2 linked regions of the Mus musculus genome follow. The protein of the gene in region 1 purifies or fractionates together with the protein of each later gene. This does not show direct contact. Links are inferred from orthologs where the notes say so. Each region holds a gene or a part of one and is shown on either strand. Other genes may lie near its edges.

Evidence for each region.
Region 2: the proteins of Mmp2 (region 1) and Col5a1 purify together in Homo sapiens (co-immunoprecipitation; 3 studies listed by BioGRID and IntAct, counting the BioPlex papers as one, with this or other methods). This does not show direct contact. The link is inferred for Mus musculus from reciprocal best matches to the Homo sapiens genes MMP2 and COL5A1.

Annotation. Positions count from the first base shown.
Region 1 is NC_000074.6:92,837,039-92,840,855, forward strand, and holds part of Mmp2 (72 kDa type IV collagenase preproprotein), read left to right. Parts: coding exon 1-41; intron 42-2,214; coding exon 2,215-2,370; intron 2,371-3,351; coding exon 3,352-3,493; intron 3,494-3,817.
Region 2 is NC_000068.7:27,948,910-27,952,726, forward strand, and holds part of Col5a1 (collagen alpha-1(V) chain precursor), read left to right. Parts: intron 1-717; coding exon 718-849; intron 850-1,717; coding exon 1,718-1,849; intron 1,850-2,377; coding exon 2,378-2,617; intron 2,618-3,363; coding exon 3,364-3,537; intron 3,538-3,817. UniProt on the Homo sapiens protein: Type V collagen is a member of group I collagen (fibrillar forming collagen). It is a minor connective tissue component of nearly ubiquitous distribution. Type V collagen binds to DNA, heparan sulfate, thrombospondin, heparin, and insulin.

The sequences.
Region 1 (3,817 bases):
CTACGATGATGACCGGAAGTGGGGCTTCTGTCCTGACCAAGGTATGAGGCCCTGGCCTTTGGGTAGAGACACTGGACACCCCTCCACACCTGACCTGGAACAACCTGAGGTCCAGACGATGGATCAAGCATAGATATTGTCTCTAAACAAGATACCCCCATTGTACCTTCAGATCTAGCCTTCAGAGCAGAGGAAACTCTGCTCCGGCAGGGAAGACAGGTTCCCTGCTTAGGTCCAGACAGTTTAGGTGGACATTCATACAGCTTCAAAATGAGATGACTAGGCACTGACCCTGAGTGGGGATCAGCCCTGCTTTTGCATTTCTTACCTACCACTCCAGCTACCCTTCCAGACAGGACTGTCACTAGCAGGAGTCATTGAAAGACCTTACTGTTGGTCTTTGAGCTGGGCAACCTTCACTGCCTAGATGCCCAGGACTTCAGTGTTTCAGGTAGCCCAAAATGTTTAGGCAAGGGGATGGGTCCAGGATCTGGCAGAATTAGGTGGGTTTCTATTCTAGATTGATTTTTGTTGTTGTGAATGAACACTTAGGGAGGAAAGATCTACAAAGAGGCTTACACTCCCAGATTGAGGGAAGTCAGGGCAAGAACTTAAGGTGAGAACCTGGAGGCAAGAACCATGGCAGGATAGCACTGTGTAGTTAGCTCACAGGCTGATGGCAGGATAGCACTATGTAGCTAGCTCACGGGCTGACGCTTAGCTTGCTTTCCTGTACAGCCTAGGGTATATGCGTAGGGAACGGAGCTGCAGTAAGCTATGCTCTCTGCATCTATTAATAATAAGAGAGTTCCTCGGCAGCATGCCTGGAGACCAACCTGATGAAGATCAACAGTCAACTGAGAGTTTTAACGATGACTCTAGGCTGTGTGGCATGGAGAGTTGATGCTCACCGGGACACTCTTCCTTCTGTGATGATTGCTTTTCTCTTGTATTGAGGTGCACTTTGGTGAATGCTGGCCAAATGAGGTTTTCTTAGGAATTTTTTCTTGCCCGCCAAAGGCTATCATAGGAGATAGTCTGACACCCCTGCTTGGTGCAACTTCTGCCTATGGTGAGATCTCCACCCATGTGAAGAGTTTGTGGCCACTCAGGCTGCCACGTACAAAGCATAATATACTGGTGGCTTAGGACAACATAAACTGACTCTTCCCCTAGTCAGAAGGCTGGAAGTTTACAACCAAAGTGTCTCTCCCCATCCCCCTACCCCCACCCCCATGCCTGTATCACCTTATTGCCCGCTTCAGCCATTATATGTCACTCTCTGGTCCCTATCGGTCCCTTTGTCTCTCTTCCTAAGAGGTTGTAATCCACAGTGGGTTAAGGGCTCGTTGGCTGCAATGAGGGTAGCATTTTAACTGATTCATCTATTTGAGACAGGGTTTCACTATGCAGCCCAGATTCGTCTTAAGCTCACAACCCTACTTCAGCATGTCAAGCACTGGAATTATAGTTAGATATATCATTCTTGGCTCTGGCTTCCATTTTGGTGATGTCTGCAAATAAGATGGCATGTCCTAGGTAACCAGGGACAGAATTCTATTTTATACTATCATCATCATCATCATTATTATTGTTGTTGTTGTTGTTATTGTTATTGTTATTGTAGTGGGGCTTGTGGGATAATTGAGTCACAGCACGGAGGGTGTGGCACACGATTTGCCTGCTCTCCATGGCCAAGCCTGAGCAAGCCATACAGGCATGAATATGTTTTGTTTCAGTTTCCCCATGGGACTGGATTTGCTGGCATACACTAGGCGAATGTTATATCATCAAGCTGCATTCCCAGGGGAGTGGCTTTTACTTCCTTCCCTGGGAAGAAATGGTGAAACCCTGAGGCCAGACTCTCCCTCTCACTCTTCTTCTTTGAGATCCTGAGCAGCAGGTTTTGTGTCAACTCTCACAAAGGGCTAAAAAGCATGCTTTTTCACAGATGGGACTTGAAGCAGATGCCCCTTTCTCTCGCCCTCATACCACATGCAGCCATCATTGGGAAAAGGCAAGAGGATGCTGACTGGCCTACTCAAAAGCAACAGCACTCTCAGCACAAGGGAAAAACCAATATGTGCCACTTCTAGAACTTTTAGCTCTACCCTGGAGTTGTCCTCCCCCAAACCTCCTTCCTATTAAGCAAGTCTTGATGCCTGTCTTATTTCTCTCTTGAATTCCACCTCATGTCCCTGCTTTGGCACTCAGGATATAGCCTATTCCTCGTGGCAGCCCATGAGTTCGGCCATGCCATGGGGCTGGAACACTCTCAGGACCCTGGAGCTCTGATGGCCCCGATCTACACCTACACCAAGAACTTCCGATTATCCCATGATGACATCAAGGGGATCCAGGAGCTCTATGGTAAGCCGCAGCTTGTGGGACTCTGAGGGGAGAGGTGTCTTCGAGGATCCCACAGCCTGGGTGGGAAGACGCAGGAGTGGAAAATGCCAGACCTCATCTAGTTAGAATGGCCAGGGACATCATCAGGGGACATGGCTCGTGCCTGGTCCTCAGGCTTTAGAGTAATGCTCCAAAGGGCTTCTGAGACAGCTCTGTCCTTTCTAGACTCTAGTTATCCATGCCTCTCTTGGTTCCCATTTCCATGTGCTAGGTATATGAACTGAGGCTAAGAAAGGCGTTTAGCCCAATATCAACTAGGTTTCAGCAGCCAGGTAGGGTTTAGGATCCAGAAGAGGGAGCTGCCTACAGGGCAGAATTTTCTCTGGCGTGAAATGGGTGTTACTAGTTCTTGTAAGATGCTCATGTTTCATTTTGCCATAGAAACATAATAACTGCTTCCTGCCACCAATGATGGCCTATTGTCTGCGCTTTCAGTGAGGTTAGAGGCTAAAAAGCAGCCAGTCAATTTCTTAAAAAAAGAAATCAATTATATAATAGTCCTAGTGGTTCCTGGACCAAGCGCGTGGTGAAAGTGAAACCTGGATGGGGAAGCTCACGGACTCTGAACTTGGGAAAGAATCAGAGATGCAGACATTGATGGGTGACATTGCAGTCCCGCTAAGGCTACATGCCAGCTGGAATGATGCAACTGTTCGCCTCCCTAGACTCCACTGTTGCGCAGCCTGAGGAGTACAAAAGCAAATCCTTAAGAAAGTGCCACACCTCTACTGGCACCAGCCAGCCTTCTCTGTTCTTAAAGTAAGAGACCACACAAGAGTCAAGCGTCTGGTCCCTTCTCTAAGCTCAGGCTCTACCCAGGTAGACTGCTCTTTTTTTTTTGTAGCCTTAGCCAGTTAAGTGAGTAGTACAGGGGTTGAGCCTGGCGATGAGAAGCCTTGTTGCTGGGTAGAGTCTAGGGTCAGGTGTCTCCCCATTCCCTAGGGCCCTCCCCCGATGCTGATACTGACACTGGTACTGGCCCCACACCAACACTGGGACCTGTCACTCCGGAGATCTGCAAACAGGACATTGTCTTTGATGGCATCGCTCAGATCCGTGGTGAGATCTTCTTCTTCAAGGACCGGTGAGTGAGGTTGCTTTTGTCTTTCTTACCCTCTAACCTCTGTCCTTTCCCATTGTTCTTGTGCCCCCACTGTTGTGGAGGGCTCCTGGAGCCTCACAGAATGACCTGCAGTAAGCAGTTTTTGCTTGTGTCTCACAACCCACAGCTCTTGGTAGCTTACAATTCAAGTGGCTCTCTTGAATTCTGGGTCAACCAGATATCTAAGCCTTTGAATCAGCAGGTCTGATATATTCTACATGCCGCTCATTCTCCCATAGTTTGCCTATACTTGTGGTAAATGACAAGGTGTTAGAGGCTAAATCAAACCATACTCATACATTGAAA
Region 2 (3,817 bases), on another chromosome or scaffold:
ACATTGCATCTTAAAGAAACATCCCTCAGTACTGGAGGCTGATGGTGACAGGGACATGCCCTCCTGATTCTAGGGCAGCTGCATTTATACTTGGTAACTGCAGTAACTGTGAGCACCAAGCTAGCAAGTGTGCAAGAGGTGTTTGGTAGATGGATGGATGAACTATGGTGGATGGATGGATAGTTGAGTGAATTGTGTAGAAGGATACATAAGTAGATGGATGGGCGGGTTAGTAGCTGCCTGCCTGGCAGGCTGTTGGCTAGATGAAAAGGTGGATAAATGAATGAGTGGGTGACAGCAGGGGTGGGTGGAGGGTTGATTAATTGAAGGGTAGATGAGCAGATAGGTTGGTGGGTAAATGGATGGATGGATGGATGGATGGATGATGAGTGGATGGGTAGGTGACTAGATGGATGGACGAATGGATGGATGGGTGGGAAGGTGAATAACGAATGGTTAGATACTAGATGAATGGAAGGTAGATAAGAGCATAGGTGGGTGGGTAAATGGATGGGAAGATGAGTCCCTGGATGGGTTACTAGCTTAAGTAGCTCTTGAGAGCAGCGTCTGCTGGGAAGAAGTGTGCTCCTGAGGATAGCTCCTTGCAAGGTCTCTTCTAGGCTTCTCTCCTGCCCACGACATCAGGCTGGACCCCCGAGTTCCCAGACCCCCATGGGTGTCTGCATTGTTTGCTCAGGAGCTCTTGTCTGTTTGCAGGGTGACATCCAACAGTTGCTTTTCGTCTCTGACAACCGAGCTGCCTATGACTACTGTGAGCACTACAGCCCCGACTGTGACACTGCGGTCCCTGACACACCTCAGTCACAGGACCCTAACCCGGATGAATATGTGAGTCATCTCTGGCTGGGTTCATGGTGGCAGCACAGGCGGAACCCCAGGATGGTTCAGAGTCGGCAGGGTTGTGGTTATAAAGGATTCTGGAAGCCAGAGGACTGAGTTTTCAGCAAACTGTAGGGGAAGCAGTGTATGATGTCTGACCCACCTTACCACAGAGGAGCTCCCCCTGACCCACACATACCTTGATCAAGTCTCTCAAGGGAGTGTCATCAACAACTGTGTCCCTTAGCTCTCCATATGCATCCTTAGATGAATGCAGACAGACAGTTGTCCTTTGCCCTCAGCCTGTGGCCTCAGTTGTTTTTTAGAGCTCGGTTGATTCCCTCATGGGCACCTGAAATTTTTTAATAGGGCATGCCCGGCCCTGTGTATATTGGACATGACTCCGAGAAACAGTAAGTCTGAAGGGCCGCCATGTCTGTCCCCTTGGTCCCTCTCCTCATTTCCCACTCTGCTGGGTCACTCTCCTCATCCCCTGTGCCCTCCTCCAGCCCCCCCCCCCCAGGTCCCTGGTTTGTATTTGAGGACAGAGTGCCTGTTAGTGACTGTGAACCCCTTTCACTGGGCACCCATGCTTTGGGGCTAAAGGTGAACTTTGCTGGTCTGGGTTTGATTTTTATGGGTCACATGTAACCACTTTTAGGGCTCAGCTTTTGCTGACCTCTCAGTAACGTGTGGGGTCATCCTTCCCCATGCTAGGCTTCTGGGGAGAGGCTGAGGCAAGAGCCCTATCTGAGGACCCCTGGGACTTGACAGTGCCTTATGGCACTGCTTTTTCACCCAAGTAGGACAAGGTGGTTGATAGGCTGCTTTGGTAATACATTCCTTTTCTTCTCCACATGGGCACCATTGACCTCAGTACCCAGAAGGAGAGGGTGAGACCTATTACTATGAGTATCCATATTATGAAGACCCTGAAGACCCGGGAAAGGAGCCTGCCCCTACTCAGAAGCCAGTGGAAGCTGCCAGAGAAACCACAGAGGTTCCTGAGGTCTGATCTGGACTGGGCTGGGCTAGGGAGGTTCCTGGTTCCCCTAGGCCACAGGGTTGAGAGCCAGAGGCTATGGGCATTATGGCACACTAATAGGACATTGTGGACCTATAATCCTATCCCTTGGGACGATGAAGTAGGAAGTAGGAACTCATGAAGTAAGCATGAGTTCTGGGCCAGCCTGGGCTACAGGGTAAGAGGCCACCCCATCTCCCCCCCGCCCCCTCATACACACATGGAAGCTTAAGCTGTTGTTGGATATCTGGAAATATCCTGATATGTCACTAGATGGTCCTTCACCAATTCATGACATCTTGGTACCTGATCTCACACACACACAGACACACACACACACACACCACAATGGTTGCCTCCCTCATTTTCTCTGCCTTCCAGGAATGGAGGGCCTTCGTGTAACTCCATGCCCACACTTTGCTGATCACTGATGTGCTAGGAGGATGCTGGCTTGGGAGCTTGGGAAATCCTGGATCAGGTATCTGACTGCCTCTTTCTACACTCTGCCCACAGGAGCAGACCCAGCCCCTACCCGAAGCCCCTACAGTGCCTGAGACCAGTGACACGGCTGACAAGGAGGACAGTCTAGGGATCGGGGACTATGACTACGTGCCCCCAGATGACTATTACACTCCACCCCCATATGAAGACTTTGGATATGGCGAGGGTGTGGAGAACCCTGACCAGCCCACCAACCCCGACTCAGGGGCTGAGGTCCCCACCAGCACCACTGTTACCTCCAACACCTCCAATGTAATTGCCTTCCTTCCAGTTTGTATTGATCTCGGGGGCAGGGGTGGAGAGGGGGCAAAGGCTTCGTGGCTCTGGGTCACTGCTGAGCACGAACCTCCTTGGGTGGCCTTCCTTGTCCACACTCCACACCCTGGCTCCCGAGTCCTCAGTAGCAGGGTTGAGTGTGGTTTAGAAGCCATTGGCTTTTCTGAGTTTATTTCAGTTCCCCCTGAAAAATGGGTAGAATATCTCCGTGGGCTCTGCATTCTTGCTCTCAGGGTAGCTCACATAACACTGTAGTTTTGGGATACAGGAGTTCCATCCATGAACATCACTGGTGGTTACCCATGCTACCAGAATAAAGCTCATAGCCCACTGTGTTCTTCACTATTGGAAAGAGCCCCAGTTTCCAGTGTGCAAACTCTTAATCAGCAACTGAACGCAGACCTCCCCAGGGATAGAGTCAGCTTTGAGGGACACTGTTGCTCCTTCCTGCCCTGACTTGTTATAGTGTCTTAGGTAGCCTGGAGAACCATCCCCATGGTGGCCGGGAGGTATGCAGAGAACCTTTGGGGGCCACAGGTCTTCCCTCATGGAATCCCCCTTGGACTTTATCTTTAGATGTTCTGTGGTGGGGCCACTGACAGCTCTATGCAGGAAGTGCTAGGCTCAGTGCCTGCTAGGCAGAGCCTGCATGTGGCCAGGCAGAGCCTGCATGTGGCCAGCCTCCCAGAGTGACTCTGCCACTTCCCTCCCTTAATCTGCAGCCAGCTCCAGGAGAAGGGAAGGATGACCTGGGCGGCGAATTCACCGAGGAAACCATCAAGAATCTAGAGGAAAACTACTATGACCCGTACTTTGACCCCGACTCCGACTCCAGTGTCTCTCCATCAGAGATAGGGCCAGGCATGCCCGCTAACCAGGACACCATCTTTGAGGGGGTAAGAGACTCAGCTTCTCTCTGCATCCCAGGGCATCTAGGTGGTGAGAAAGGGCCAGCGCTTTTAGAAGTCTGAGGGTGACTGAGTGAGGCAAGAGTGACATGGGCTGCCATGCATTTCAACTATTAATTAATTAATTAACTAGCTAGAGACACGTTCTCACTATGTAGCCCTGGCTGTCCAGAAACTCTCTATGTAGACTAGACTGGCCTGGTACTCACAGAGATCCACCTGCCTCTGCCTCCCAAGTTCCAGGATTAAAGGCGTGCGCCACCATGCC